Linked DNA regions of Macaca fascicularis. The protein of the gene in region 3 interacts with the protein of the main gene of each other region in a biochemical or structural test. Links are inferred from orthologs where the notes say so. Each region holds a gene or a part of one and is shown on either strand. Other genes may lie near its edges.

What was found.
Region 1: the proteins of DAXX (region 3) and RASSF1 form a complex in vitro, tested with the Homo sapiens proteins (4 studies listed by BioGRID and IntAct, with this or other methods). The link is inferred for Macaca fascicularis from reciprocal best matches to the Homo sapiens genes DAXX and RASSF1.
Region 2: the proteins of DAXX (region 3) and PML form a complex in vitro, tested with the Homo sapiens proteins (2 studies listed by BioGRID, with this or other methods). The link is inferred for Macaca fascicularis from reciprocal best matches to the Homo sapiens genes DAXX and PML.

The regions. Positions count from the first base shown.
Region 1 is NC_088376.1:113,369,814-113,379,859, forward strand, and holds the start of RASSF1 (ras association domain-containing protein 1), read right to left. Parts: upstream 6,636-10,046; 5' UTR 6,595-6,635; coding exon 6,345-6,594; intron 3,796-6,344; coding exon 3,689-3,795; intron 3,218-3,688; exon of another isoform or gene 3,086-3,217; coding exon of another isoform or gene 2,939-3,085; intron 1-2,938. Other genes in the region: ZMYND10 (zinc finger MYND domain-containing protein 10), read right to left, coding at 7,196-7,271, 7,360-7,485, 7,597-7,718, 7,801-7,926, 8,183-8,355, 8,707-8,807, 8,907-8,995, 9,096-9,233 and 2 more. UniProt on the Homo sapiens protein: Potential tumor suppressor. Required for death receptor-dependent apoptosis. Mediates activation of STK3/MST2 and STK4/MST1 during Fas-induced apoptosis by preventing their dephosphorylation.
Region 2 is NC_088381.1:50,914,824-50,924,762, reverse strand, and holds the start of PML (protein PML), read right to left. Parts: upstream 5,628-9,939; 5' UTR 5,598-5,627; coding exon 5,469-5,597; intron 2,441-5,468; coding exon 1,968-2,440; intron 1-1,967. Other genes in the region: STOML1 (stomatin-like protein 1), read left to right, coding at 8,212-8,344.
Region 3 is NC_088378.1:138,376,602-138,386,731, reverse strand, and holds DAXX (death domain-associated protein 6), read right to left. Parts: upstream 5,826-10,130; 5' UTR 5,781-5,825; coding exon 5,728-5,780; intron 4,860-5,727; exon of another isoform or gene 4,807-4,859; coding exon of another isoform or gene 4,790-4,806; coding exon 4,600-4,789; intron 4,450-4,599; coding exon 3,618-4,449; intron 3,474-3,617; coding exon 3,265-3,473; intron 3,110-3,264; coding exon 2,884-3,109; intron 2,730-2,883; coding exon 2,264-2,729; intron 2,104-2,263; coding exon 1,881-2,103; intron 1,689-1,880; coding exon 1,629-1,688; 3' UTR 1,446-1,628; downstream 1-1,445. UniProt on the Homo sapiens protein: Transcription corepressor known to repress transcriptional potential of several sumoylated transcription factors. Down-regulates basal and activated transcription.

The DNA.
Region 1 (10,046 bases), on a different chromosome or scaffold from region 3:
GGCAGATTCTAGTGCCAGGGCAAGAAGGAAGATCACTTTGTTTGCAGAACAGGGAGGGCACAGGGATGGCTCTGAGCTCCTACCTGAGAAAGCTTGCTCCTTCTTCCCTTCCTGGATGACCCAGGAGCCCTGGGTTGGGATGCAGTGACCTCATTTCCAGCCCCTTCCCTTCTGGAAATGAACCTCCCTATCTTCACTCAGAAAACAAGGGACTTGGACTAGAGGCACTACACAGCCCTTCCAGGATTCTAAAGGAGGAAGAGTTTCTTCTTCTGTTTCCAAAGTTGCCTGCTAGAAGAGGACTTCAACAGCCATCCCAGTTGGACGTATAGCAGGACCATGGAATTTCCCTTCTGCACCATAGGGACCCACCTTCCACTCTACCACTGTCCATGAAAACTGTTTTTGGTTTTGTTTTTTGAGACGGAATCTTGCTCTGTTGTCCAGGCTGGAGTGCAGTGGTGTGATCTTGGCTCACTGCAATCTCTGCCTCCTGGGTTCAGGCAATTCTCTGCCTCAGCCTCCCAAGTAGCTGGGATTACAGGTGCCTGCCACCAAACCTGGCTAATTTTTTGTATTTTTAGTTGAGATAGGGTTTCACCATTTTGGCCAGGCTGGTCTTGAACTCCTGACCTCGTGATCCACCCACCTCAGCTTCCCAAAGTGCTGGGATTAAAGGTGTGAGCCACTGTGCCCGGCCTAAAACTGATGGTTTTATTTTACATACGACTTGGGACTTCTCAGCCTCCTTTTCTTTCTTTCTTTCTTTTTTTTTTTTTTTTTTGACAGAGTCTTGCTCTCTCGTCCAGGCTGGAGTGCAGTGGCCCGATCTCGACTCACTGCAACGTCCATCTTCTGGGTTCAAGTGATTCTCCTGCCTCAGCTTCCCCAGTAGCTGGGATTACAGGTATACAACACCATGGTCAGCTAATTTTTTTGTATTTTCAGTAAAGACAGGGTTTTGCTATGTCGGCCTGGCTGGTCTTGAACTCTCGGCGTCAAGTGATACGCCTGCCTTGGCCTCCCAAAATGCTGAGATTACAGGCATGAGCCACCAAGCCCAGCCTTCTTTCTTTTTTTTTGAGACAGAGTCTTACCCTGTCACCCAGGCAGGAGTGCAGTGGCGCGATCTTGGCTGACTGCAACCTTTGCCTCCCGGTTCAAGTGATTCATAGTCTCCCAAGTAGCTAGGACTACAGGCACACACCACCATGTCCGGCTAATTTTTATATGTTTAGTAGAGACAGGGTTTCACCATGTTGGCCAGGCCGGCCTCGAATTCCTGATCACAAATGATCCGCCTGCCTCGGCCTCCCAAAGCATTGGCATTAGAGGTGTGAGCCACCGCACTTGGCTTCCTTTTCTATTTTTGAGACAGTCTCGCTCTGTCACTCAGGCTGGAGTGCATTGGCACGATCTTGGCTCACTGCAATCTCTGCCTCCCAGGTTCAAGTGATCCTCCTGCCTTACCCTCCCAAGTAGCTGGGATTACAGGTGTGTGCCTCCGTGGCTAGCCCTCCTTTTCTTTCTTTTTTTTTTTTTTTTGAGACGGAGTCTTGCTCTGTCACCCAGGCTGGAGTGCAGTGGCCCGATCTCGGCTCACTGCAAGCTCCGCCTCCCGGGTTCACGCCATTCTCCTGCCTCAGCCTCCCGAGTAGCTGGGACTACAGGCGCCCGCCACCTCGCCCGGCTAGTTTTTTTTTTTGTATTTTTTAGTAGAGACGGGGTTTCACCGTGTTAGCCAGGATGGTCTCGATCTCCTGACCTCGTGATCCACCCGTCTCGGCCTCCCAAAGTGCTGGGATTACAGGCTTGAGCCACCGCGCCCGGCCTAGCCCTCCTTTTCAATTGGTTAGTGTCTTGTGGTTTTCCCACCTTCCCACAGTGGAAAATGGCTCAGGACTGAGTGACATGAAGACAAGCCCAGGGGTTTACACTCAACCCTTGCACCCAAGCTCTGGGCTAAGATTTTGGGGTGCTGAGCACCACCCCTTTTGTAAGGAATTTTGTAAAATTTTATCCAAAGCATCACTCACAACTCCACTTTCTTCACTTAAATAAGGATTTCCGCCCCATTGCTGCCAGGCATACTGAGCTTCACATTCCCTATTTCTTTTTCCTGGTGCCTGGGCCTGGTTCTCTGAGCCTGGTGGTCACACCCATGGCATCTGGCACAGAGTTCTCTAATAATGGGGATACCTAGGAGGTTCCGAGACACCTTACAGTCCTGGGTTAGTAACCTGGATCTCTTTCCACCTCTTTAGGCATTTTATAATCTACCCTTCCCCCTTCTTGTGGGTAAAGTGCTCCTGAATGCTTATGGTCCAAAATAAGACTTCTTTCCTATCCTATTTCCTATTTCCAAATCTTTCTCCAGATCCACCCTAGAGGAAGGGATCAAAATGTTTCACATTCCAGCAGCTGGTGACAGGCCAGAACAGGGAAGAGGTGAGGGCTCAGCTGGCTCCGTAAAGGAGTGCAAATGGAGGAGCAGGATCTCTCTCTGCCTCTCAGTTTTCCTAAACATACTTCTCAATTCCTGGCGAGGACTCCTCCCTCTCCACTTCCTCCCCTAGTCTCCCCAAGGAGGGAGCAGGAGCATCTGAACGCGGAAATCGAGGTGCTAGTCCAGACTGCTCGGTCGGCTTTAGTCATAGCTTGATAATGCCCGGCTCAGGTCTACCACAAGCCACACAGCTGCTTTCCCTGTTCAACCTGTCTGTGACAGAAACCATGGGGGCCCAGGCAACCAGTATCGAGGCGGTGGAATCGGGGTCTTACACACGGTTCTGCGGGCAGGCCACCGGCCAGGACACGCGGGGAGCCACGTAGCCGGGAGGGTGGGGCTGCCCACCGACCCAGGACGCGGCAACGGACCGGGGAGGGCGGAGCTCCAGCAATCGCCTCCCGTCCCCCGCCGGCACCCCCGGGCTCCCACCTGGTCCCGGCGCGGCCTGCGCGCTAGCGAGGTTCGCGCGGTGAAGTACTGCTCGAGCTCCGAGTCCGAGTCCTCTTGGCTGCAGTAGCCACTGCTCGTCGTGCTGCTCCAGGTCATCTCGAAAGAAGGCGTCTCCGCCTCGCCCATCGCCGCACCCGCCCGTCCCCCTGGTCCCGCGCGTCCGTAGCCGCCAACCACCGCCCCGGTCGCGTGCGTGCGTGTACGCGTGTCAGTGTGCGCGTGCGCCCGGGCCAGCGCCGCGCCGCAACCGTTAAGACTGAAACGTAGATCGCCGGGATCTAGCTCTTGTGTCATTGGGGGAGGAACGCCGGGGCGGGGACACGCACACTTAGCCCCGAGGAATGACCTCATCGCTCCGGCAGCTCCACTCAGAGACCCCACCTACCACAGGGAACGGGGCGGGTGCCAGCGTCCGCGCAAGCGCACAAGGGTGGCCTCTGGCCGGAGGCGAGGGCGGGAAGGTGCGGGAAGTGCGCGTGCGCGGAGCCTGCGTCCGCCTTGGCCGGGGACTGCTAGCGGCTGGGGTCTGCTAGCAGCCAGTGGAGGCCTTGCGGAGCCGGCAATCCAGGCACCCCTCTCAGCCCTCGCTCAGAATTAGCCTCTCTCTGCCGCCGGGAAATCGGCACTTAGAACGCTCCTTGCGCGCAGCACCCAGGCAGTCTTCGAGAATGCCTGCGCTGTGGCCTGCCCGTCCTCGCCCTTCCCATACGCCCTCGGCCCCGCGCTCACCACGTTCGTGTCCCGCTCCACCGCGGGTTCCCAGCCCAGGTCCCGGGGCCCGCAGCAGTCCAGGCAGACGAGCGCGCGGCAGCGGTAGTGGCAGGTGAACTTGCAATCTGCAGAGAGGCCTAGCCGTGAGGCGGAGGAGCCCCAGGTCGGGGAAATGTCCGGGAGATTGAAGGGAAGCCCCAGGAAGAGGGCCGTTGCCCGCCAGGCTCCGCAGGCCCGGCTTCAGTGTTTTACCTCACACTGCTATGCGGACTTTAATGTTGGCCACCCTGGGTGTCTGGAAACCGGCCGGAAGGCCACAGCAGAGGCCTGCTCAACAGTTGGGATCTCTGTCGCCTAGCACAGAGCTTCCCCTTTCCTCATTGGCAATTAAAAAAAAAAAACCAAAAACCGGAGTCTTCCTTTTGTCACCCAGGCTGGAGTGCAATGGCGCGATTTCGGCTCGCTGCAACCTCCGCCTCCTGGGTTCAAGCGATTCTTCTGCCTCAGCCTCTCGAGTACCTGGAATTACAGGCGCCCGCCACCACGCCCCGCTAATTTTTGTATTTTTAGCAGAGACAGGGTTTCACCATGTTAGCCAGGCTGGTCTCAAACTCGTGACCTCAGGTGATCCACCCGCCTCGGCCTCCCAAAGTGCTGGGACTACAGGCGTGAGCCACCGCGCCCGGCCCTTCATTGGGAACTTCTATGGAATACATCTGCCCATTTACTTGAAGGAAAAACTAAACACCTTTAACCTACCTCTGCCCTCTGGTTGTCATCTGTCTGTACTCCCCTCAGACCAAAACATTGGTCTCTATACACTCTAATCCTTCGCCTTCACTCTCCCATCTACCCACTTCAGCCAGGCTTGCCTCTCCCTCCAGGAAACTGCCCAGGACAGGGTCCTCAGCCATCTATGTGCTGCCAAATGGAATGCAGTGTTCCATTCTCCATTCTCACCCACTCAGCATCATTTGAAGCTTGCTCCCTTTGACTCCCAGGGGCTACACTGCCAGTTTTCCTCCTACCCCCCTGCAGCTCCTGCTCAGCTCCTTTGCAGATTCTGACTCAACTTCCGTATCTCATGATGAAGTCTGGGCTCAGTCCTGATCGCTGGCCTGGTCTGTCTACACAATCTTCTGCCCCAGATCCACAGCTGAAACACTGACCTAAACCCTCAGATTAGATCCTCCGTGCCAGTACCTTCACTAGGATGTCTAAAAGACGTTTCAAGTGAACATGGCCAAAATTTAATTCCCTTTTCTTCCACCTCACTGCTACCCTTGCCCAGCTTCCTCTTTGCAGCAAAAATGGCCACTATGCTCCCGGTTACTGGAAACAAAAACCCAAACTTATCGTTGATTCCTCCCTTGTCTCTACCTCTGATAAACATGCCCAAATCATCCTGCTTCTTATCTCTATGGCCACTTTATTTCTCTTTGAGAATGCTGCAGTGTCCCAGCCTTTTTCTTCCTTCCTTCCTTCTTTCTTTTTTTTTTTTTTTTTTTGAGACAGTCTCAATCTGTCCCCAAGGCTGGAGAGCAGTGGCGTGATTTCAGCTCACTGCAACCTCCGCCTCCTGGGTTCAAGCAATTCTCCCACCTCAACCTCCTGAGTAGCTGGGATTACAGGCACCCGCCACCACGCCTGGCTAATTTTTTTGTATTTTTTAGTAGAGACAGGGTTTCACCATGTTGGCCAGGCTGGTCTTGAACTCCTGACCTCAGGTGATCCACCCGCCTTGGCCTTCCAAAGTACTGGAATTACAGGCCTGAGCCACCGTGCTCGGCCCTTGTTTATTCTTTGTATTCTGTCACAACTTTGTGCTCCCCCCAGCTGAATTTGTGATGTCCTCTTGTACCAGATGAGAGGGTCTCCATGCACATACAGACCTGGGACACCATCTATCCACTAGTTCCTAAATGGGTCAGAGCACTGATGCTCAACCCAGACTCCATGTTACAATAATGTGGGGATTTAAAAAAATTTACTGCTGCCTTGAGTCCACTCCCAGCAGCTGATTCAATGGGTCTGAGGTGGCATCCAGGCTAGAGGGTGGGAGGGCTGTAAAAGCGCCCCTGGTGATTCCAGCTGGTGTCTAGCTAGGGGAGAGCAACCTTTGCTTGCTGGCGATTCCCAGGGGTGCAGAAGGACTGCTGGGTGTGTGGCTGCCTTCCATATTTTAGCTTCTGATTCAAGGGTGTTTGCTAAATACTCAACAAAACTCCTGCTTGCAGGGGGCACACCCAAGGTTCTAACTTTTTCCAGGCTCCCTCCCATAGGTGGGTAACTTCCCTTCACCCCAAAGGTTCTGGAGGGGGTCACAGTGAGTGAATGTTTGAGAAGAGGCAAGCCTGGGAAGATGGACTCCGAGGACAGTAGGCACAAACCCTTTCTCAAGAAAGGCCAAGGCATTTTAAAGATAAGAAACTTGAAATCAGCATATTTTTACATATAAGCTGCCACCTCTGCTCATCTGTGCCCCATATACGAGTGGAGTGCGACAAGGGATAAACCATTTTCGCGCACTCTTCAGCGATGGGGCGAAAGTAACGGACCTAGTCCTCGGGAGCTGTCCCCACCGACCACCTCTGCCGCGACTTGACCCGCGGCGACGGCGCTGCCCCTTGGCTGCCCCTTCCGCTCTCGTAGGCGCGCGGGGCCCGCTACTCACGCGCGCACTGCAGGCCCTTGCGCACGACGCCCCAGATGAAGTCGCCACAGAGGTCGCACCACGTGTGCGTGGCGGGCCCCGCAGGCTGGAAGCGGTGGCCACGGCCCGGGACCAGCTGCCGTGCGGGGTTGCACGCGGTGCCCCGCGCGATGCGCAGCGCGTTGGCACGCTCCAGCCGGGTGCGGCCCTGCCCAGCGCGCCCAGCGGGTGCCAGCTCCCGCAGCTCAATGAGCTCAGGCTCCGCCGACATGGCCCAGTCGGGCCGGTGCTTCGCTGGCTTTGGGCGCTAGCAAGAGCGGGCCGGGCGGGGCCACAGGGCGGGCCCCGACGTCAGCACCGCCCCCAGGATCTAAGTTGGGAGGCGGGAAGGAGCTGAGGAGAGCCGTGCAATGGAAACCTGGGTGCGGGGACTCTGGGGCCCGAAGGCGGGGCTAGGCGCGCTCTCGCAGAGCCCCCGCCTTGCCCTTCCTTCCCTCCTTCGTCCGCTCCTCACACCCCACCCCGGATGGCCACAAAGACGGCGACCGCAAAGCACCACACGGAGATACCCGTGTTTCTGGAGGCCAGCTTTACTGTGCTAGAGGAAGAGGGTCCCCACATCCGGCCTTCGCCCTCCTGGCCCAGTTTGCTGAGGCAACGCACTTGGCCTGCCCACCAGGTGGGGCAGGAAGTCTCGAGCCTTCCCTTGGGGTGGGGAGGAGGGGGATGGGTCAGCAGCTTTACCGCTGGCTCTGCTCTCCACTGCGGAGACTGGGGCTCCGGCAGAGGCTGGACCGTGATCTTGAGGTTCAGGGGTGCATTCTGGGTGGATTCCCTTGGCATAGGTGGTTGGCCCTCAGCAACTGCAACCCTCATTTGGCTCTGTCACCCTGGGCTGCCAGGACACAAGTCTTTCCATGCTTTTCCCAGTGCTTGACTTGGCACTCCCTGCAGGCAGGTGGGTGTTGAGGAGGGCAGTGCATGTGGGGGATGTGGCAGTAGGACTTAGGGGTCCAAGGTCCTAGGATACCCTCACCTGCAGCAATACCACTCATTCTGGCATCGCGAGCAGCGCTTAGAAGCCTCTGCACTGCAGTAAGCACAGCGGGGCCGCTCTGGAGCCACTGCCTCTAGCACGTCCAGCCTGTAGGTCTCAGCCCACCTGGGGGAAAGTCAGGAAGGTCTGACTGGCCTTGGAAGGTGGGGGCATCCCTGCCCACATCCATGCCTCCTGCATCCCATCCACTCCTCCTGCCAGTTCCACAGGACTTACCTTTGTGCCTGCAGCCGCAGGTCCTGCTGTGAGGGGCTGAACACATGTTGGAGCTGGTGCTTGGCAATTGCCTGCCACTTGCCTCTGTTTTCTCGCTCCAGCCGCTCCCAGATTTCTGGGATCTAGGGAAAGGAGTGGAGAGTGGCAGGAAGGTGCTGGTAAAGTAGGACAGTGGTCCTGAGGAGCTAACTTTCCAGTGTCTACCTGTTCCAACACCAGGTCCTTCTTAGGGGGCTGGGTTTCAGTCAGGGCCAGATGGGCCAGGAAACTCTGCAAGTGGGCCAGGTTGGGCAGCTGGTCCAGTAGTGTGTCTGTGAGGAAGGCCCGAAGCTGCAAGAGTGTCCAGTGGAGGCCAGTGTGATGCAGGTGCTGGCCAGGGGGCCACGGAAAAGGAAGGGGCTGGGTTGGGCTGAGCATGCCTGTGGGGGTCCATGTCCCACTAGCTGGTGTGTCACCTGAGGCCCAAGGACTGAAAAGAGCACGGGGGTTGAGGTGGGTGGGCAAAGATAAACAGCAGGGACAGGGTCAGGGTAGGATGGGGAGGGCGGTGCTGGGGCTGTGGGGGCTGGTGCAGAGGGAGTCCGACCTTGAGTAGCTGTCCCTTGGCAAAACTTGTGAGGCAGTAGCGCGCCTGGGCCTCAGGGCTTAGCAGCAGGTTGTACAGGGCTATCCACACTTGCCCGTCCAACTTGCTCAGCTTTTGCTGCTCTGAGGGGGCCACAGTATGCCAACGGCTGCCCTCGAACTGCTGCAGCTTGCCTGGGGAGAGGAACCAGCACACTGGGTACAGGCATTGCATTCTCTTCAAGTGAGCCAGCTGTGGGGCCTGGGAGACTGACCACTGCCTGGGAATGGTGGGAGAACCTGGGCCACAGGACTTGCCCAGGCTATAATGCTGCTGACCCCAGAGCAGAGTGAGCCTCAGTAGTGGACACATGGGCCTGGCCTGCTGCAGAGCTCAGGTCTAGGCCACTCTTGGCTGAGGCATCCTGGTATCCTCAGATGGGCTTGGGGACGGGGTTTGTCTTCGTGTGTGCAAACTGCCCCCTCTATCAAAAAGATATCCTGAAGCAGTAGCCTGGGGCTTAGGCTGGTGTGGGAGGACCCTACCTCCTTCCCGCCGGTTCCAGGGACTATGCTCCAGCAGTTCCACCAGGAGGCAGGGCAGGTTGTGTGTGCTAAGCATACGGCTCAAGGTGCTGAGAGAGAGGCTAGGGGCAGGGACGTTGTGAAGGAGGTGAGCAGAGGCAGGCTACAGGCCCAGTCTTCCAGCCCTCCACGGTAGGCCCAGGCCCAGTCGGACTGCCCACCTGTCCACACAGTCTGTGATGTAGCGCAGTACTGAGAGGGCCTTCAGTGCAATCTCAAATTCCATCAGCTCTGCCTGCTTCTGCAGCTCCTGCGAGGTCACACAGTGTTCATGCTGGGCTACCCTTGCCTGTGCAGGCCTTGGGGAACCCAGACCTAGGCTTTCACAATCCTAGGTAACCTCAACCCACCTGCATGGGGTTGCTGTCCTGGGACCCCTCCCCTTCAGGGGGGCCACCACAGCCACTCCGGGCCACCAGCAGAATCAGTTTGCGGTGGCAATAGTCTACCAAGTCCAAGACAGTGTCTTCTGCTGACTCACACACCTCCTGGGGAAAGGGGGAGGGAAACTTTCTGTGTCTGATGCCCTCCCCACACAGATACAACCTCCCTTCCTGCCAGGCCCTGACCTGAAACTGTGGCCCATGGGCAGAGATAGTCCCTCACCTTGTGGAAGAACACTGTCTCCAAGAGGTTGATGATGGAGGCCTCGTGGTGCACCTGACAGACAAAGAGAGGGACAGGGCCTGTGGTAGGGATAGGGGCTACCAGCTCCCCTCCCCAGTCCAGAGCCCTCTGAAGGAGTGGGAGGAGGTATGAACCAGGGGCCCAGCTCACCACCATGTAGATGGGAAAGGTGTTCTGGGGCTTGAAGTCCTCCACCCTGCAGAGCACGGGGAACACCTTCTGCTTCCACATCTCCACTGCGATCAACTCCTCCACCAGTGTTGGGACCTTTGAAGGATGGGGTAAAGGACAGGGATGAGATGGGCCTACCTTTGCCTGGCAACCCTCCCATCCCCAGCTTGGCTCAGCTCAGCCCAGATCTCCCCAAACACTGCTGGGCCCCTAAACTATCCCAAACCCCATGGCTATCCTTCCTGACTTTTCTCTTGCATTTCGGACCTTCGTTTCCAGCTGCTCCCAACACCTCTGTGGATGTCCCTCATGCTTATGTGACTGGCTCCTGCCCAGTTCCCAGACTGCCTTGCCCTGCCTGCACCTGCCCCGTTATCCTCTCCCCGCCCATTCAGGCGTCCCTTTCAAGTCAGCCCTTCTGCTCATGCCCTCCCTCTTGTCCCTGTCCTGTGGTTCTCTAAGGCTCTTGTGTGCCTTTGGCCTCACTCTTACTCAGGACCCTT
Region 2 (9,939 bases), on a different chromosome or scaffold from region 3:
TGCACACCTGTAGTCCCATATAATCTGGAGGCTGAAGTGGGAGGATTGTTTGAACCCCAGGAGACTGAGGCTGCAGTGAGCCACGAGTGCAGCACTGCACCCCAGCCTGGGCGACAGAGCAAGACCCTGTCTCAAAAAATAAAAATAAAATAAAAAATAAAGCATACAGGAGGATGTGTAGAGGTTATATACAAATACTATGCCATTTTATATCACAGACTTGAGCATCTATGAATTTGAACCAGTCTCCCATGGATCCCGTGGGATGGCTTCATTATCATGTTCAAAACATGAAAGCTTACAAATTCATTAAGAAATTAGTATAAGGCTGGGTGCGGTGGCTCACGCCTGTAATCCCAGAACTTTGGGAGGCCAACGCAGGTGGATCACCTGAGGTCAGGAGACCAGCCTGACCAATATAGTGAAACCTTGTCTCTACTAAAAATACCAAAAAATTAGCCAGGCATGGTGGTATGCACCTGTAATCCCAGCTACTTGGGAGGCTAAGGCAGGAGAATTGCTTGAACCCGGGAGGCGAAGGTTGCAGTAAGCCAAGATCGCGCCACTGCACTCCAGCCTGGGTGATACAGGGAGACTCTATTTCAAAAAAAAAAAAAAATTAAAAAAAATTTTTAAATCCAAAAGATATAACCAGAGATAAAGCCAATTTCCCCTAATTTATTGCAATTTCAATCAAAATCCAATGAATATGTAAGTTTTAAAACTGCACAAATTGTAAGAGCAAAAGAAACGCATAAATTTTTTTCCTTCGAGGAATTTGTTCCTGAATTCCTTAATTAATCCCTTAATTCCTCAAAGGAAACAACAACAACAACAGGCAAAGGACCTAAACAGGCTATTCACAAATGAAGAAACACAATGGCCAATAAACAAGTGGAAAGCCACTCAACCTTTACAACAAGCTAAGAAATGTGGTGATACCAGCTGTTGAGAAGTCAGAGGGGAAAGCTTATTCTGATAGTGGGGGAAGTTTATCCTAAAGCAGGAAACAAACCACACTCAGTTTAGCAGATATGTAGTTTAGCAGGTATGTGGTTTAGCCATATATAGTTCTGAGTTGTCAAAAACAAGGGAAAAATGCTTCCATTTTGCAAGTGGATCCCTAAGAACCAAGAAGAGCCTTCTATAAACAATCTATTTCTGATGGTTGAAAGTTCACATAGTTATGCTACCATTTTGGCTAAAAGAGGGAAAATAGGACCTGAGAAGACTGCTGCTACCTGCATATATAGTCATAAAGAAACTCTCAGAAGAAACATTCAAAACTACCTGTGGATGGGAAGAGGGAGAAGTGGTGGGAATTAGACAGTTGAGGATGGACAGAAGACTGCACTCTCTCTCTCCTCTTTATAAATTTTGTTCGTGAACTGTACAAATGTATTACCTATTAAAAAACTGAATTAAAATCTGTTTAATAAAAACAATTACAACTGGATGTGATTTTTTTTTCCCATACAGACACTCTCAGATAGCACTGCCTGGTGTTAATGGTCTCAACTTTTCAGACAGAAACTACCTACCTGCCTCTGATCCTAGAATCCAGCCTTACTGAGATTCTCTGTCAGCGCTCATGGAAAATTTCACTCGAAGACTTTCTAAAGGGCAGTTTGGTAACATGTATCAAATGTAGAATTTCTGTCCCCCTACAGCCAGCAGTGGCACTTCTAAAAATTTATCCTGAAGAAATTACTGGATAACAATGCAAAGATGATTCTGCAGCATTATTTATTACAGGAGGAAACTGGAAACTTACTATCCACCTGCGTGGGGACTGGCAGCATAAATTGCGGTCGTCACCACGGATGCTGCATATCTGCAGACCACATTTAGAGTTGCAAGGCCCCAGAAGCTCCTTGTCCTCAGCTGTGTGACTCTTTGGATCTTTGCTCCTCTCACCTCTACCTGGTTCTTGGATGCACCATCCCACCCTGTGCCAGCCCACTCACCTGGTCAGTGTAGGGGTGCGGTGGTTGGGGTTGGAGCAGAAGATATTGTTGGTCTTGCGGGTGCCATCCAGGAACTCACGCACGGACTGGTTGCGCAGCTCTGCTAAGGGCCGGGCCTCGTGCTTGAGGAACCACTGGTGTGCCTCGAAGCACTTGGCGCAGAGGAGCTGCTCGCACTCAAAGCACCAGAAGTCGGCGGACTCTTTGCAGCGGATGCACGCAGCCTGTGCATCCACAATCTGCCGGTACACCGACAGGCGCCGTTGCAGACTCTCGAAAAAGACGTTATCCAGGGCAGGCGTGTCTGCACCTAGGGGCCAGGGCGCCTGGCAGATGGGGCACTGCATGCCCGACTCCTCCAGGCATCCTGAGCACAGCGTGTGCAGACAAGGCAGCAGCTTCGGGCACTTGGCTTCAGCCTGGCATTGCTGGCAGCGCAGAAACTGGAACTCCTCCTCCGGAGAGGGGGCTTGCTGGGGGACCAGAGAGGCGGGTGAGGCCTGGAGAAGTCCCAAGAGCCCCCACCCACTGGCCAACCACCCTTACAGCTGGAGCCTGGAGTAGGACCTCATATTCCATTCCAGCCAGTCATTGGATGATGCAAAACCCTGGCTTATCAGCACCCCAATACTCCCACTTATTCAGGCCCTCCTGCTCTCACTGCACCATTTATTGAGCATCTACTCATCACACACAGTACTAGGCCCTGAGATATAAGAGGTATAGGATACATTCTGCCTTCAAGGAACTCAGTTTGGAAGGTAGATACAGTAAGTACCAACCTCATATAAAGTGCTTAATGCACAGTTTGGGGGTTCATCAAAGAGGTAAGCATGGAACAATCATATGACCCAGCAATTTCACTCTTACATATATAACCAAAAGATCTAAAAACAAGGACCCAAACAGATACTTGTACAACAATGTCCAGAGCAACATTATTCACAATAGTCAAAATGTAGAAACAATCCAAGTATCCATCAACAGATGAATAGATAAACAAAATGTGGTCTACACATATAATGGAATATTATTCAGCATTAGAAAGAAATGAAATTCTGATCATGCTACAACATAGATGGACCTCAATGACATTATGCTAAGTGAAATAAGCCACACACAAAAGGTCAAATACTGTATGATTCTGAGGCAGGAGAATAGGGTCTGGAGGCAGGGAACCTAAGGCCGATTCCCTCTGACTTCCTAGAACTAAATCCAAAGGAAAACCCGAACTCTCCACGCCCAAGTAACAAAAGGACCAGAGGCTACTCTCTTTGCAAAACACCCCATTTCCTGCCTGGCAGATGGAAAATTGAAAGCACCTCTGATTGGTTGCTTTCTACAACCAATGGGGTGAACACCAAGTGGCCAATGGGAAACCTCTAGGGCATATTTGGAACCCAGAAGATTCTGTAACTTGGGCCCTTGAGCCCTGCTCCAACCCATCCCACCCTGTGGAGTGTACTTTCATTTTCCATAAATCTCTGCTTTCATTGCTTCATTCTTTCCTTGCTTTGCTGTGCATTTTGTCCAATTCTTTGTTCAAAACGCCAAGAACCTGAACAACTTGCGGTCAAGACCGTCTACTGGTAACAATTCCACTTATATGAAATATCTAGAATAAGTAAGCTCGTAGGGACAGAAGGTAGATTAGAAGTTACCAAGGGCTAGGGGAAGGAGAAAATGAGGAGCTATTGCTTTACTGAGACTCAGGACACACCACTTCAAAATATGACTGCAGGAGGCCAGAATATGCCACCCTTGAAATATACTTTGTTGGCATATTTTAAGCTGGTTATTCTGAGAAACTGCTGATACAGGAATAGCTCTGAAAAGCTCTCCTTTTGTAAAACAGAAAGGCATTTGCATCCCAAAGAAAATCTACATTAGTAAAATGGTCTATATTAAAAGAGGGCTGCTCCAGACAACTCTTATTATCTAAGAACTTTTTATCTACATAGCAAGACAACAGCTCCTCTCCTCACCCTCCCATAACTTGTGTCATCACCACCACCCAGAAGCTCCAAGCTCTTTTCTGTGGATCAGGATGTTATATAGGCTTCAATCATCTGACCTTTCTTTGAGTCTCATACTTTGTGGGACTCCTGAGTATACATATGTAATTAAATATGGGTTTTCCCCCTGTTAATCTATTTTATGACTATTTAATTCATAGCCCAGCCAAGGAAACTAGAAGGGTGGAGGGAAGCCATCTTTCCCTCCCCTATGGTTTAAAGGGTACAGAGTTTCTGGAGCAATTAAAAAGTTCTGAAAATAGATGGTGGTGATGGTTACACAATATTGTGAATCTACTTAATGCCACTGAACGTTACACTTAGAAATGGTTAACATAGGAGCTTATCCGTTACGTATATTTTACCACAATTTTTAAAATACAAAAGCAGTCCGGGCATGGTGGCTGACGCCTGTAATCCCAGCACTTTGGGAGGCCGAGTTGGGCAGATCACGAGGTCAGAAGTTAGAGACCAATCTGGCCAACATAGTGAAACCCCATCTCTACTAAAAATATAAAAATCAGCCAGGTATAGTGGTGTGGCCTGTAATCCCAGCTACTCAGAAGGCTGAGGCAGGAGAATCACGTCAACCCGGGAGGAGGAGGTTGCAGCGAGCAGAGATCGCACCATTGCACTCCAGCCTGGGCGACAGTGCAAGACTCCATCTCAAAAACAAACAGATAAACAAACAAACAAAAAACAAAACAAAACAAACAACAAAAAACCAAAGTGCTTAATACAGTACCTGGCACATTTGAAGTGCTCATAAATGTTAGCTAGTGTTGTTAAGTAATGTTATTCTTAGTTGTAATAATGCTTATAAAAGTTACTGTAATACAGTGTCCTCTGTACTTTCATGAAGGGGAGCAAAAGGGCCTGGAAGACAGCAGAACAAGAAACCCAAGTAGTTCCTTTGGGGGTGGAGGTGGGAGGTAGGCAGGACAGGTGTGGCAAGAGAAGGGTTTGTTAGGGAGGCTTCCTTAAGCAGAAACCACATGAGCTGGGAGGCCTTGGCAAAGATACCTCTTCAGTCTGAGCCACAGTTTCTCACCTCGGATCTGGGAAGTTGGTTTTAGTTTTGCTGTGCCTGGGACATGCTCCTGGCTCCAGGCCAGCGCAACAGGGCTACCACTTCCATCCTCCCTAATCTGTGGTCCTGCATCTGAGGCAGGGTTGACCAGGGCTCGAGGGTGGGCGGAAGGGCCCAGGCCCGGAGGCCACTGACCCTTCTCACCTTGCCCAACTGCTCCGTGGAGAAACCGCAGCCCAGCGAGGCCGCCCCAACTCCTCCGGGTCCTCTTTTCTACTCTATCCTACCCTCCCATGCCCCAGCCAAGAAGGTCAGGACCCTGGTGTGTGGTCTTCCCGCTTTGTGTCACTCTCTAGCGTACTTGACCAAATCCTCCGTTAGACCCTCTCTTCCCCACTCTCCCCACCACAGCAAACCAACAAAGCCTAACCCCATCATCCCCTAACCCAATAGTACCTCTGTAGGGCTGTGGCTGGGGCTGGGCTGACGGCCTTCCGAGGGGGTCTCGGGGGGAGGCATGGTGGGCGCGTGGGGCCGGGCGGGGTCCTGCTGGGGCCTCGGAGATCGGGCGGGTGCAGGCTCCATGGACCTCAGCTTAGTTTCGATTCTCGGTTTAGATCTTGGAGGGCGTGAAAAGAAACTAAAGGGGAGGCGTGAGCCAGTTGGCTGAGCCCCTTGAGCTGTCCGAAAGGGGAGGTGCCAGCTCAGGGCCCGCCTCTGGAGAGGAAGTGAGACACAAACTGGGGGCGGTTCTAGGGGCAGAGAGGCCGACTGTGGGTTTTAAAGACACGCCCAGAGCGGGGAGGAAGGAGAGGCGGGGAGCCGCAGACCTACTGCTGGCTTACGGTAAAGCGGGAGAGGCAGGGCAGAGCTGCAGAGGGGCAGCCCCGCCCCCGGGTTTGATCCATTCATCAGTTCACACTGGCACTGCTTCGTGCCACCTCCTGCCGGGAGCTGGGCGCACAAAGATGAGCCACACGCAGCCCCTGCTTTTTAAGAGCCCCAGATGTAATGGAAGAGCAAGCTTGCAAACGGAGACATTCTGGAAAGGAGAGCCCTCAGCTGGGACCTGAAAAAGCAGTGGGAATTCACCAGGGATTCAGGGCTGTAGGTGGTGGGGTCCAGGGGACACTGGAAACACGAAAGATAGCTCTTGCAAAAGGCATGGAAGTTTGAAACACGAAAGCCTGTTTGGGAACTAGTTTTGGCCGTTTTCAGATTTAAGAGGGAATTCATGAGAAATGATGCCCAAGAAGTGTGCTGGGACAAGATCCTAACTAAGGAGATTGGACCAGTTCTGGGAGTGATGGGAAGTTGGTGAAGGATCTGGAACCAGGAAACAACATGATCAGCTGTGCATGATGGGACGGTCACTCTAACAACCTAGGGGCACATACCCTTGTCTAGGACAGTGGCTGTGGGATGCAGAGGAGGGTCTTGAGTCAGAGATCCTGGGAAGCCAGTGACTGGAGGTGAGGGAGCAGGGTGACGCCTTGAGTGACAGCTGGAAAGGCTGGTGGATGTGAGGTGGTGGGGGCAGGAGGGAGGGGGAGAGCTGGAGAGCGGGTATGAAGAGGGAGAGGGGAGAGCCAGGTAGGTCTTCACCAGTGGAAAAGCATGCCAGACTCCCAGCTGGTGAGGGGGAAAGGGCACAGCTCCAGGTGACCTCACTGGGCCAGTGCCCCTGGCTTCAAACTTAAACCATCGCAACCACTGTGCTGGCTCCTGTGTACCCATTCTGTACTCTGTTCCAACTTAGAAACAGACTAGAAAGGATGATGATAGGGCCTGGCTCTTGTAAACCTTATAGTATGCGGGCTGGAGGTCAAGGGTTGGGTGGATACCCAACTTCCTAGGGACTGTAAGAGGCCTCAGGAGCCTGCCCTTCCCTCCAGCCTGGTCAGTACTCCCAGGCCTTTAGAGAATCAGTCCATGAAAGCCAAATATGGTGGGCAGCCATCTGCACAAGGGACCTGGAAGTGGGCTATGGCAGGATGGGGCTTTGGAGGCCAGAGGCGATTGGCTGAGGAGGCAGAGCTGGGGAAGCTTTATTCATTTATTTGCTTGCTTTGAAAGATAGCCTGCTCCCAGACTACCCCAGAGTTCTGTTGGAAGTTAACACTTCTCAAAGTAAATTCGCAAGTTGCATTCAGGTTTTCTCAAGCCCTGGAGAGGCCAGTTAATTTCAGCTACCTAGATCAAGGGGCATGCTGTTTCTAGACCTGCAGGACTGAGGGCCTCACCTCTGTGGTGCTCTGGGGCCCCTGCCCTCATGTGGCTCTGTGCTACCCCCTTCTTCCTTACACTTCCATGCTCCCCGAGGTCTGCATGTGAAACTTCTTTCTTTTTGTGCCAAAGTTCAGGCCTTCCTACTCCACCTTGATCACGGTGACCTGGCTAGGCCATTACTTAACAAATAAGTACTGAGATCTGCCCTATGCCAGTCCCTGCTTGCTGGGCTATGGGTTCACAAAGAGGAATAATTTGCAGACTATGTCCCAGAGAAACCCAAAGTCCAGATATGGCATGCCCTGCCTCCAGTGTGCGAGAAGGAGTGCTGAGAAGGCTGATAATAGCATGTCCTTGATCCTGGAGAAGATTCGCTTCCTGTAAACCCTGATGAGATCTTGCTCTCTCTCTCTGGCTGCAGTGCAGTGGCACGATCATAGCTCACTGCAGCCTCAAACTCCTGTACTCAAGAGATCCTCCCGCCTCAGCCTCCCAAGTGGCTGGGACCACAGGCAGGCATCCCCACGCCAGGCTAATTTTTCAAAATTTTTTGTAGAGATAGGCTCTCACTGTATTGCTCAGGCTGGTCCTGAATTCCTGGCCTCAAGCGATCCTCCTGCCTGAGTCTCCCAAACTGATGGATTATAGGCGTGAGCCACCGTGCCCAGCTTCCCCTTTAGCTTTTCTAAGGCTGAGTAGAAGACGGGAGGAGGCGACGACCCCAGCGTGCTCCCGGGAACACCGATCACACCCCTTGGCCCTCGGCTGCAGTTCGGTCCTCCCAGCACTGGGGACGCCATACGACAGCGGGAGCGGGCCCCGGCCAGTCTCCTCCTCCTGCGCCCGCCGCTGCAGCGGGTGGCAGCGTGGGTGAAGCCGGAAGCAGCAGCCAGCAGGGCGGGGCCGCGTAGGGCCCGCTGGTCAGGGAGGGCGCCGTGTGGCGTGCGGGGCGTGTCTCCTGTCAAAAGCCATGCTGGGCAGGTCTGGGTACCGGGCGCTGCCCCTGGGGGATTTTGACCGCTTCCAGCAGTCGAGCTTTGGCTTTCTGGGCTCGCAGAAGGGCTGCTTGTCCCCGGAGCGGGGCGGCGTGGGGACGGGGGCCGGTGAGTGGCCGCCCGGCACGGCGGACCCGGGGGGGACCGGCCGGCAACCCCCAGGCCCGAAATCTCTGCCTCCGAGGAGTCGGCCGGCCCGGCGTCATCGCACCCTACGAGGGGGGACTGAGAAGGGGATACGATGTGGAGAGGGGGCTGGACCCGGCGCCTGGTGCTAGCGCTGATACGCCCTCCCTAGGGTCACGGGGCGGTGGCCCTGGAGCCAGCCAGCGTTGCTCCTATCTTCCAAAACCTCACCTCACCACATTTGTCCTCGGTTCTTATTAGCCCTTTAGGCCTGGGAAGACGTTTCAGGTTTCTATTTCGCATAGAAGAAACCGAGGTCTAGGCAGAGGAGGCCGCCAGCACCCTAAAGGCACCTGCTGCCAAGAAATGGAAGTATTTTCACCTTAGGGGGCACCTCTAGAAGCCCGGGAACTAGGCATCTCCTGGATGTGCAGGCCAAAAAGACTGGTCCTCAGCTGCCTGTTGGATCTGCCCTGCCTCTGTCTTGCCCTCAAAGTCTTCTGTGGCTCCTTTGGCCTAGAGGCCAGATCCCACACTGTTCAGCCTGACCGCCTAACCTTGGATTTGATCCCTCCCTGGCCTTCCTGTCCTGAAAGATCTCCGTATCCAGAACTCTCTTGAGAGGCCTGGGGATCAGAGCCAGGCACAAAGTGGAGCCTCAGTGCTCTGGGGATTAGCTCAGAGGGCAGGGCTTCCTTGAAGAATGGAGCAGGGGCTCCTGACTGCTTCCTGTCCAGGGTTGGGGGAAGGAAAGCAGCAAATAACCTCATCCCAGATTCTGGAGCTGTCTTGGCTGCGCTCCCATCCTGGTTCTCCAGGGGCCAGGACATTTGGCTTGGATAAGCCTCATCTTTCTAGCCCTGCCCCTGACCCTGACCCCTAACAATTTTCTTGAATTTAAATAGGCAGGTTTTTTTTGTTTTTTGTTTTTTTATTGTTTTGTTTTGTTTTTGAAGCAGAGTCTCGCTCTGTCCCCCAGGCTGGAGTGCAATGGCGCAATCTCGTGAAACAGACATTTTTAAATGGTCATTAAGGCATTAAAGTAGGGTGAGGAATAGAAAATAATAATCTTATTCCTCATTTATGGCTCCTGTTGATAAGCTATTTATGCTCTATCCCTGTAGGCTAAGGCATCATCTTCATAAGGACTCCTGGAAAGCATACTTCTAGGGCTAATGGTATAGGAGGAATGTGTTTTGCCAGCAATATTCAGTGCATGTTTACAGATGCCCAGGTGCTCCTGGCTGCATGCCAGGTATGAGTAGGCAATATAAATTAAACGAGAAGATTGACCCCTACTCAGTCCAGTGAGGAGAGCATCATCACCTGGACTGGATTCTGAGATTGATGACTGTTGCCTAGCAGAGAATAAGGCCTTGTGAGGGTTGTTGGACTTGGGACAAATGAGTATTGATGTATGGGAGGAGGGAACAGATCCTAACTCGCAGCTGCCCAAAGATATGGGGATATTAGGCAAGGAGCCAGACTGAGAACCCTGAGAAGGAAGGAGCCTCTCGAGGGGAAGGTGGACGTAAGGTACGCTTGCCCAAGTTCACTCTACTTGCAGCTGTCATGGC
Region 3 (10,130 bases):
TCCTCTCAACCCCATTTGACAGATGAGGAAACTGAGGCTCAGAAAGATTACAAGATTATCCAAGGTCACACAGCAAGTGGCACCGCCAGCAAACACAGGTATCTGACAAATCCTGTGCCCTTTCCTTGGAGGTTAGAGAAATAAGGTGCTCTTAGCGGGTGGAGTGGCTTCCTTCGGAATTACACCCTATTTCCCATTTACCTGGGAGTCTGACATTCCAAAATCTACCTTTTTGGTGTTTTGCACCCACTTTTTGGGAGGGGGCAGGGCAGCTCCGCTACTGAAAACCAACTCTTGCTCCATCTCCCCTCCATGCTATGCCCCGCAAGCTCTCTCGTCGACCACGCCCCCTTCACCCCAGCTTCTCTCTAGCCCCGCCCCTTTCCAGGCCCGCCCCCGTGCCCCGCCCACTATCGGGCCTTTCGACCCCGCCCCTTGTCTACCTCCGCCCACAACGGACCCCGCCCCCCCCGCTCCGCCCCAGGCGCTACCTCGGCCTCTTCTCCCACTCGGAAGGCGCCCCCCAACCTCGCGCGTCCCCGCTTACCGGGCCGCGCGCCCCCGGGCCCCCCCCGCCCCTCACTCGGCGGGCAGAGCAGCAGCCTGGGCCCCTCCCGCCGCCATCTTGCGCCGACTTCCTCCGCCCTCCGCCTCCGCTCCGCCTCCCGCCCCTCTGCCTTTAAAGGCACAGCCGGCCACCCCGCCCGTGCCGCTGGGCAATACTCGGCCGACTCGGCTACTTTGCCTTTAAAGAACCGTCGCCTCATTCCACCTTAAAAGATCAGATTCCCCCTCCTCCGCTGGGAACTCAGGACTTGGTTCGGCCGAAGCATTTATTCCCCTTTAAAGCTATAAGCCTGTCTTTTCCCATTGGCGATGGGTTCAGGTATCGTTCCCCAGGCTCCGCCTCTGAGCTGTGACCATTAGCTGGTTGGTGGGATCTAATCGCCCTTTTCCTAGCTCCTTACAGCCCCCTGAAGCCCCGCCCCCTTTCTCCGGGCCTGGATTGGCCAAATAACCTTGAGTCGGCCCCTCATTGGCTTTTTCACTCCTACTGCACGAAGTGAAAAAGTAAAGTGCGTTAAGGCGGCTGAAGCACTTAAAAAAAAAAAAAAAGTACAGCCTGAACAACATGGCGAAACCCTGTCTCTACAAAAAATACAAACAACAAAAACAAAAAATTAGCCAGGTATGGTGGCACGCGCCTGTAGTCCCGGCTACTCGGGAGACTGGGGCATTATCACTTGAGACTGGGAGGTCCAGGCTGCAGTGAGCTGTGATCGCACCACTGCACTCTGGCCTGGGCGACACAGCGAGACAACAACAACAAAAGACCAGGCTAGAAAGGACAGATCGGGACTACCCCGGGGATATTGGGCTAACCCTGAGCAAGGGGACAGCTAATGCCAATCTGTAACAGTAGAAGGACAAGAAAAAGACAGTGATACAGTAAGAAAAGAACTTTATTATTAATGTTTCTGTGTAAAACTTAAGCTTTTTTTTTTTTTTTTAAAGAAACACCACCAAAAGGGGATTAGCTTAGTCCATCCCTTCCTCAGTCATCTGCTTCCCACATTCCTCCACATGCTATCCCAAAACATTCTGGAGGCAGGGAGAAGGGGAGGCAGCTAATCAGAGTCTGAGAGCACGATGATCTCTTCTGGATCGCATTGTGTGGCCACACTTGTCTGCAGGGAAGTCAGAGACAAAGAGTCAGAGATCTAGAGTACAGGAGAAAAGAAACAGACAGGAGGATTTACAGGATAAAACGGGTGGGAAAAAGAGACAGGATGTGGCAGGTGCAATATTCAGACAGAGCAGCTGAAACAGACAATGAAAGAGAACAAATTATCAGAGGAAACACGGCCTCCCCTTCTTACCTTGTAAGTACTGGGCCGAGGAGGTTGTGATTGGGGGGTTTGGGACAGCTGGGCTGGAGAAGGGATGCAGAGGGAGCTGGTCACCAGGCCATGGCTGGGAGAGTCCACCCTCGTGGAGGAATCAGCAACCGGGGCCAAGGAAGCCAAGGGGGAAGGTGGGCTGGGCAGGGTACATATCTTTTTCCCATTCTTCTCATGCACTGACCTTTGCCTTTCCACATAGCTAGAAACCGAAACATAAATATGCGGAGGGGTAAGGGAAGACTGAGGCTGGAGGAGGGCAGTCCAGTCTCTCCCAGCAGACTCAGTTCCCCAATATTCCTCTCCGAAAGTCCCCTGCAATCCCTCCTTGGCTTCCCTCTTCCTCCTCCTGTTGTTATTACCTGTTTCCTAATGGCCCTGATCCTGTTTGCTTCTTCTCCTTCCGAGATTTTTTGCAGGGGGGACCAGAATCTCCCCAGTTGTGAGGAGAGACGCCTCCATTGAAGGAAGTAGAAGAGACCATGCCTGCCCCATTCTCTAAGACAGTGGTGAAGGGCTCCTCTGATTGCTTCCTGGAAGAGGAAATGTCCATCTCCACAGAGGAAGGGGTATCCAGGGGCAAAGCTTCAATCTCTAGCTCAAAGAGCTGAGACACAGGGCTTTCTTCCTCCAGGGTCAGCTCCTCAGGCTGTTCTCCATTGCTTTCAGCATCTATGCTGGAGGGGGCCAGGGGTTCTTCTGACAGTAACAAGGGTGACACTTTGTTTTGCTGCTCCCCTGAAGACCTGCTGATCTGTTTGCCAGGTTCCAGGTTCTTTTCAGTGGAGATCTGTGGTGAGGACATGGGGCTCCCGTCTCCATCTTTACCTGGAAAAGAAGAAAAGGGGAGAGGGTAGCCCGAGAATGAGGGGAAAAAATACTGCTGAGAGGACACTAGGAGGAGGAAGGGAAAGGTCTCAAACAGGTGGCTTATGCCTAACAAAAACAAATGACAGGTGAGGAGAATGTTCCCTTGACATACCTGCTGCTTCTTCCTCTTCCTCCTCCTCTTCATCATCCTCCTGACCCTCCTGCATCTGTTCCAGATCCTCCTCCTCTTCAGAATCTGTGGCCTCCTCCTCTTCTTCTTCTTCCTCCTCCTCCTCCTCATCCTCCTCCTCTTCCTCATCACTCTCTTCATCTTCTTCGTCATCTGTCTCAGCTTTGGAGGCAGAAGGGCACCCCTGGGATGCCATTCCACTAGGGCCCTGGGGGACAAAGAAGTTTCTCTAAGGAATCCCTTGCCCTAGAGGGTTTGGTTCTTGCATTCCTTCTCATGCTCCCCCATCAGTCAACCTGGACTCCCTGGTGGCCAGTGCAGGGGAAGGACAATGTCTCTCTGAAGGCTTTACCCCATCCACACCTCACCAGAATCCAAGGAGGCGGGGGTGTCTTCAGAGTGGGAAGAGGTGCCTTGGAGCCGAGCTCTTCTCTTTTTTCTCTCGCCCTCCTCACTTTTGTCTTGCAACATTGCATATTTGGAGATGACCTCATCCAGCCGACTCATGGCCAAACTCCGGTTTTCCCGAAGGCGCCGGGCCAACACAGGATCTGATAGTGCAGGGTCAATGCCTACGTGGGAAAATATAAAGTCAGAGCACTCAGCCGTGGAAGGGACTAGAAGAGTACAAACCCTAGAAAGGACTAGAGAGATGCCCCATCCGCCTCATACCTGACATATAAGGGTCACTGAGAGGCATCCCACTAACCCCCTACCTGGCCTATAGTCATCTGTGAGGTGGCAGCCAAAGTTGTAGATGAGATCGAGGTGACGTCGTTCCTGTAACCTGATGCCCACATCTCGGAAGGCATCCTGAGCCATGAGCTGGAGCTGCTGTCGGGGGAGGCCAAGGCTGTGTCGGGCAGCTGCCTTCTCTACTGCCCGAAGCACATCCCCATAGTCAGGGAAGGTATCAGGCCCTGGCTTGTTGATGAGCCGCTCAATGCGCCTGTTAACCTCTGGGTAGCGGGTGCCACGGTAGGTGATGCGCTGCTCTATGACACGGCCGGTCAGTGAAGAGCAGTCTTTCAGCTCACATAGTCGCCCAAAGAGGCGGATCAGCTTACGCTTCAACCGTGCCTCCTGCAGGTATGTGGAGTCTGGGTCATCCAATTCTGAGAGATCCAACTCCTTTTCCTGCAGCCGCCGGATCTCTGCCACATAGAGCGCCAGCAGCTGCTCCAAGCGCTGGATCTGCCGCCGGGAACCACGGGTCCTTGGGGCCTGAGAGGCAGTGTTTTCAGCGTTTGTGGGGTCCAAGGAGAGGTGTGTGGGAGGGTTATTCCCAGAGGGCTCATTGGACGTGGTGGCAGCAGGGGCCAAGTTCAGCTTCTTTTTGGCTGAGTGGGCCTTGAGAACAGTGCAGAGCTCATTGATGTAGACATAGAGCTTAGATGGCCGGCTCTGGGCCCGAGATAGGACCCGAGAGAGGATGTTGCAGAACTCCGCCGAGGCCAAAAACAGAGAGTGGGCACGTTGCTGCCGGTTAGAGAGGAATGGGACCACCTCAGGGTGGTCCGCTGTCTGCGTCTTACAAAGTTCAAGGAACTAGAAGGTTCAGGGGAAGAAGGAAGGGGAAGAGAGACAAGGGAGGGGGTTGAGAGAAAGGGGAGTGGGGTTAGTGGGGAAGAAAGGACAGGAGAGCCAGTCAGCCATCCCCCTCCCTGGGGTACAACGATCTTCCCCGCTAAAGCTCACCTCTTGGAACAGCTTCTCATTCTCCAGCTTGTAGCACTTCTTGCCGCCCGAACTACTGCTTCCTCTGGCCCCATGAGGCTCAGAAGAGCTAGGGGCTTCTGCCCCTGGTGAGGCTGTACTGGGGAGTGGGTGGGAGGGCCCTGGCTGAGCAGCTGCTTCATCTTCGTCATCATCATCCAGCACAATGATGCTGTTAGCGGTGGCCATGGGGGAATCAAATCCCCCGGAAGGAGGAAGTGGTGGGGATTTCAGAATTCCTGCTGGAAGGGGATGGGGCCTCAGAATGAGCCCCTCCAGCATAGCCCCATCCCTTCACCTCACGCATTTTCTGAACTCCTTGGGTTTCAGCCCTGACCAACACTGTCTTCACCACCTGATTTCAATAACCATTAGTTCTATATGCTTTTCGGGCCCTTCAAGTGGTGTGTGGGGGGGGCAAACCCCCCCACACCTTAAGTTGCCACCTTCTGCTCCACCCCTCACGTCGATTTCCGGTCTTTCTGTTGCATTTCCCCACTCTTTCTCAGAGTTGGCAAGTTGGTTCTTTCTCCCACACTGCACCCTAAATCGTCCTGACACCCCCTGGCACAGACAACACACTCCTGTGGGCGCCACCTCATGTGTTTGCCCCCTCTGCCCTCAAACAAGTCAACCCCACACCCGCCCCATCCTGATCACCCCAACTCCTAGACTCTCTGAGGTGAAAGAGGTTCCCTCCCAACAGTCCGTTCTCTTTTCCCCTCCTTGAATTATCTCCGTATTTCACCCTCAGATGAGTCTCCTCAAACTGGGCCTTTAGGTTGAAGATATTTTACCCAAGTCCCCTCCCTTTCACCCCACCCTAATTTTCCCCATTCTCTCGGAGACCTGTAACTAATTAGAAGTCCCCCCGCACCGCGCTACGCTCTCCCGATTCCTCTTAGATCCCAACCCTGGGTCCGGCCGGTCCGGTAGATGCGCTTCCCGCCAAATCCCCCTCCCCCAGTTCAGCCCCCGGCCGCCCCACTCCCTTTCAGGGATAGGAAGGTACCACAGTTTTCCCCTCAGACTCAGAGCCCGGCTCTCCCCAATACCTCTGCCTCGATATCCCCGCCCCCGCCTCTGATCCCCGCACCATCCGGCCCCCACCTCAGAAACCGTCTCTCGAGGCGACCCTCGCCGCAGATCTCAGAACCTCGCATGGTTCCCTCCGCCTTCCTTCCCACTCCCACCGCAGGCCCCACTACGGACCGGAAGCAACAGAGTTTCCGCCTGCATGCAACTAAGCGCCGCCATATTGTCGTACGGAACAAGGCTTCCTGTGGCCGGAAGCGGCCGTAGGCCCGCCCCGCGAACACCTCCAGTGCCGCCCACATAGTCAGCGCGGTCTTCCAGGTCGGAGTTTGTCTCCCCGAACCCGGGCGTCCCAAAGCAGCTGGGGGCCGCCATTTTGCCGTACGGCGCTGGCTACGCCAGAACTTCGGTGCGCAGCCGGAGGAGCTCTTTTCACCCGGTGCTTCTCTGACTCCGCCAATCAGAAACTTCCTCCCTGGGGTCCAACCGCCGGCGAGTAGCGCGTGGGGAGAACGGAGCCTCCTTTCCAAGGAGGGGCAGGGGAACCGAACAGGGTGGTTTAGGAATTGGGCTTTCCAAAGCTGCGTAGGGTTTCAGGGAATGGCAGAAGTCTCTTAAAAGGGAAGTAAAACCTTTATCTTCAACTAGGCTATTGGCAAGCTATCTGGCCCTGCTTTCCTGTCCCCCAGGTTCCCATTTCCACGGCTTATTCGGCTGACCCAGCCCCTTCCCCTGCAAGGGCGGCGCGCTCCTTGCCGCTGTCCAGCAGCTGCTTCTACTGCCAGGTGCTGCGTCCCACAGTCGTTATAACACATGCGTACAAATAAGCACAATGCGCCATACAAAAGTGTTATTATTATTACTATTGTTGCTGATTTGCTTTTCAAGCTTCACCACAGAACTAATGACCAGACGGTTGGGACCTGAATGGTTCTCCTCCAGAGGGGGTCCTCGAAGGGCCGTCGGTGCTGACTGTGAGGCCGTGCTTTGTCGTGGAGGCCCAGGGTCTGCGGATGGGCGATGATGGGGTGGGGCTTGGAGGAGAGTTTGAGCCTCTGCAAGGGCTGCTGTGAAACGAAATGAGGCTCATAAAATACTTTGGGTTTCCTCCTCCTCTTCTGGGAGAGGTTAAAAAAGAATGAAGGATGAAGAAACAGACTTGATACCCACCTCGTTGAGTTTAGGGAGGTTGGAGGGAGTCGTGGAGGCAAGGCTGGGTCCAGAGGTGAGCTTATGAGGAAACCAGAAAGATTAACAAGGTCCCAATCGCAAAGATTCCCATTTCCACAAGTGGTGGGCATCTTGCCGCTTAACTAGGTTCACAGAATTTACTACATCCCTAACGCTGAGTCATAGAATCGCAAACACCCGTCCATTGAACAATCCCACATCACTTCTCTCCAGTCGTCAAAGTCTACAGCTTTCAAAATGGGGAACATAAAAAACCTCCGCGAGGACTGGAACTTGGGAGATGTAAGGGATTTAATTTCCAGAACCTCAACTTTCCCAAAATTGGTCTTCCTAAGGAAACACCTGCAGTACAGGTTCTCATTCTTCACTTCTCCTTTTACAATAGAGACACCCTCTTAAGAAAAAAGAAAAGAATAGTTCTCTCTTTTTCCCCTCCGCCCTCAAAAGTGTAGTTCTCAACCATGAAATCTCCTGGGGTATTCTTACCTGTTTAAAATAAAGGGAGATGTACCCTGTTGAACACCTTTTCTTTTTTTTCTTTTATTTCCTTTCTTTTTTTGTTTGTTTGTTTGTTTTTTTAAAGGCAAGGTCGGCCGGGCGCGGTGGCTCACGCCTGTAATGCCAGCACTTTGGGGGACCGAGGCGGGCGTATCATGGGGTCAAGAGATGGAGACCATCCTGGCCAACATGGTGAAACCCCGTCTCTACTAAAAATACAAAAAATTAGCTGGGCGTGGTGGCAGGCGCCTGTAGTCCCAGCTACTCAGGAGGCCGAGGAAGGAAAACCGCTCGAACCCGGGAGGCGGAGGTTGCAGTGAGCCGAGATCGCATCATTGCACTCCAGCCTGGGCGACAGAGCGAGATTATCTCAAAAAAAAAAAAAAAGAAAAGAAAAAAAGGGTCTTGCTTTTTTTTTTTTTTTTTTTTTTTTGAGATGGAGTCTTGCTCTGTCGCCCAGGCTAGAGTGCAGTGGCCGGATCTCAGCTCACTGCAAGCTCCGCCTCCCGGGTTTACGCCATTCTCCTGCCTCTGCCTCCCCAGCAGCTGCTGGGACTACAGGCGCCCGCCACCTCGCCCGGCTAGTTTTTTGGGTTTTTTTTTTTTTTGTATTTTGTGGTAGAAACGGGGTTTCACCGTGTTAACCAGGATGGTCTCGATCTCCTGACCTCGTGATCCGCCCGTCTCGGCCTCCCAAAGTGCTAGGATTACAGGCTTGAGCCACGGCGCCCGGCCAGCGTCTTGTTCTATCAACCAGGCTGGAATGCGGGTACGATCATAGCTCACAAGCCATCCTCTCACCTCAAGTAGCTAGGACTACAGGCGCACACCACCTCACCCGGCTAATTTTTTTAAAAAAGTTTTTTGTAGAGACCGGGCACGGTGGCTCATGCCTGTAGTCCCAGAACTTTGGAAGGCCGAGGCGGGCAGATCACCTGAGGTCAGGAGTTTGAGACCAGCCTGGCCAACATGGTGAAATCCCGTCTCTACTAAAAATACAAAAAATAGCTGGGTTTGGTGGCACGCGCCTGTAGGCCCAGCTACTCGGGAGGCTGAGGCAGGAGAATCACTTGAACCTGGGAGGCGGAGGTTGCAGTGAGCCGAGATCAGCCACTGCACTCCAGCCTGGCGACAGAGCAAGACTCAGTCTCAAAAAAAAAAAAAAAAAAAAAAAAGGTTTTCTTATAGCAACAGAGTCTCACTATGTTGCCCAGATGGATCTTGAGCTCTTGGCCTCAAGCAATCCTCCCACCTCAGCGTCTCAAAGTGCTGGGTTATGGGGTGAACCGCCACTCCCAGACTACTATCTTATTAAAAATTTATTTTTAACAGTTATAAAAATGTGTACCATCGGCCAGGCGCGGTGGCTCACGCCTGTAATCCCAGCACTTTGGGAGGCCAAGGCAGGCGGATCACAAGGTCAGGAGATCAAGACCACCCTGGCTAACACGGTGAAACCCTGTCTCTACTAAAAATAAAAATACAAAAAAAAAAAAAATTAGCAGCGCGTGGTGGCAGGCGCCTTGTAGTCCTAGCTACTCAGGAAGCTGAGGCAGGAGAATGGCATGAACCCGGGAGGCGGAGCTTCCGTGAGCCGAGATCCTGCCACTGCACTCCAGCCTGGGCGAAAGAGCAAGACTCCTTCAAAAAAAAAAATGTGTACGATCACATGTTTATAAGAACATTCTGTTCTTATAATAATTGTAACAGTTACTCCAGAATAATTTTTAACAACTAGAGTCTTACAAACACAAGAAAGATATTTTTCATCTCCATTAATATATATGTATATGCAGGAAGAGGTAAAAGTTTGGTCAATAAAGGACTTTCAAGTATAAAAGCATAAAGTTTGTGGGGAAGTGGAGTAGTAGTAGGAGCTCAAGGAGAAAAGAGGCGATGAAAGAAAAAAAGGAATGATTCCCAACTGGTAAGAACTTATTTATACTTTTTTTTTTTTTCAGACAGAGTCTTGCTCCGTACCCAGGCTGGAGTGCAATGGCACAATCTCGGCTCACTGCAACCTCCGCCTCTCTGGTTTAAGCGATTCTCCTGCCTCAGCCTCCTGAGCAGCTGGGAATACAGGCGCATGACACCATGCCCAGCTAAATTTTTGTATTTTTTTTTTTTTTTATTTTTAGTAGAGATGGGTTTTCGGCATATTGGCCAGGCTGGTCTCGAACTCCTGACCTCGTGATCCACCCAACTCGGCCTCCCAAAGTGCTGGGATTACAGGTGTGAAGCACTGCACCCGGCATCACTATGGTATTTCAATTCCACTGGACAATAAATGGTGATCTAATTGTTTTATTTTAAAATGCCGGGCCAGGCATGGTGACTCATGCCTGTAATCCTAGCACTTTGGGAGGCCAAGGTGGGCAGATCACTTGAGGTCAGGAGTTTGAGACCAGCCTGACCAACATGGTGAAACCTTGTCTCTACTAAAGATACAAAAAATTAGCCAGGTGTGGTTGTGGGTGCCTGTAATCCCAGCTACTTGGGAGCTGAGGCAGGAGAATCCTTTGAATTTGGGAGGCGAAGGTTGCAGTTAAGCCAAGATCGTGCCACTGCACTCCAGCCTGGGTGACAGAGCAAGACTCTGTCTCAAAAAATAAAAAAATAGGCCGGACTTGGTGGCTCACACCTGAAATCCCAGCACTTGGGAGGCTGAGGTGGGAGGATCACCTGAAGACAGGAATTCGAGACCAGCCTGGCCAACATGATGAAACCCTGTCTCTACTAAAATTATAAAAAAATTAGCTGGGTGCAGTGGCGGGCACCTGTAGTCCCAG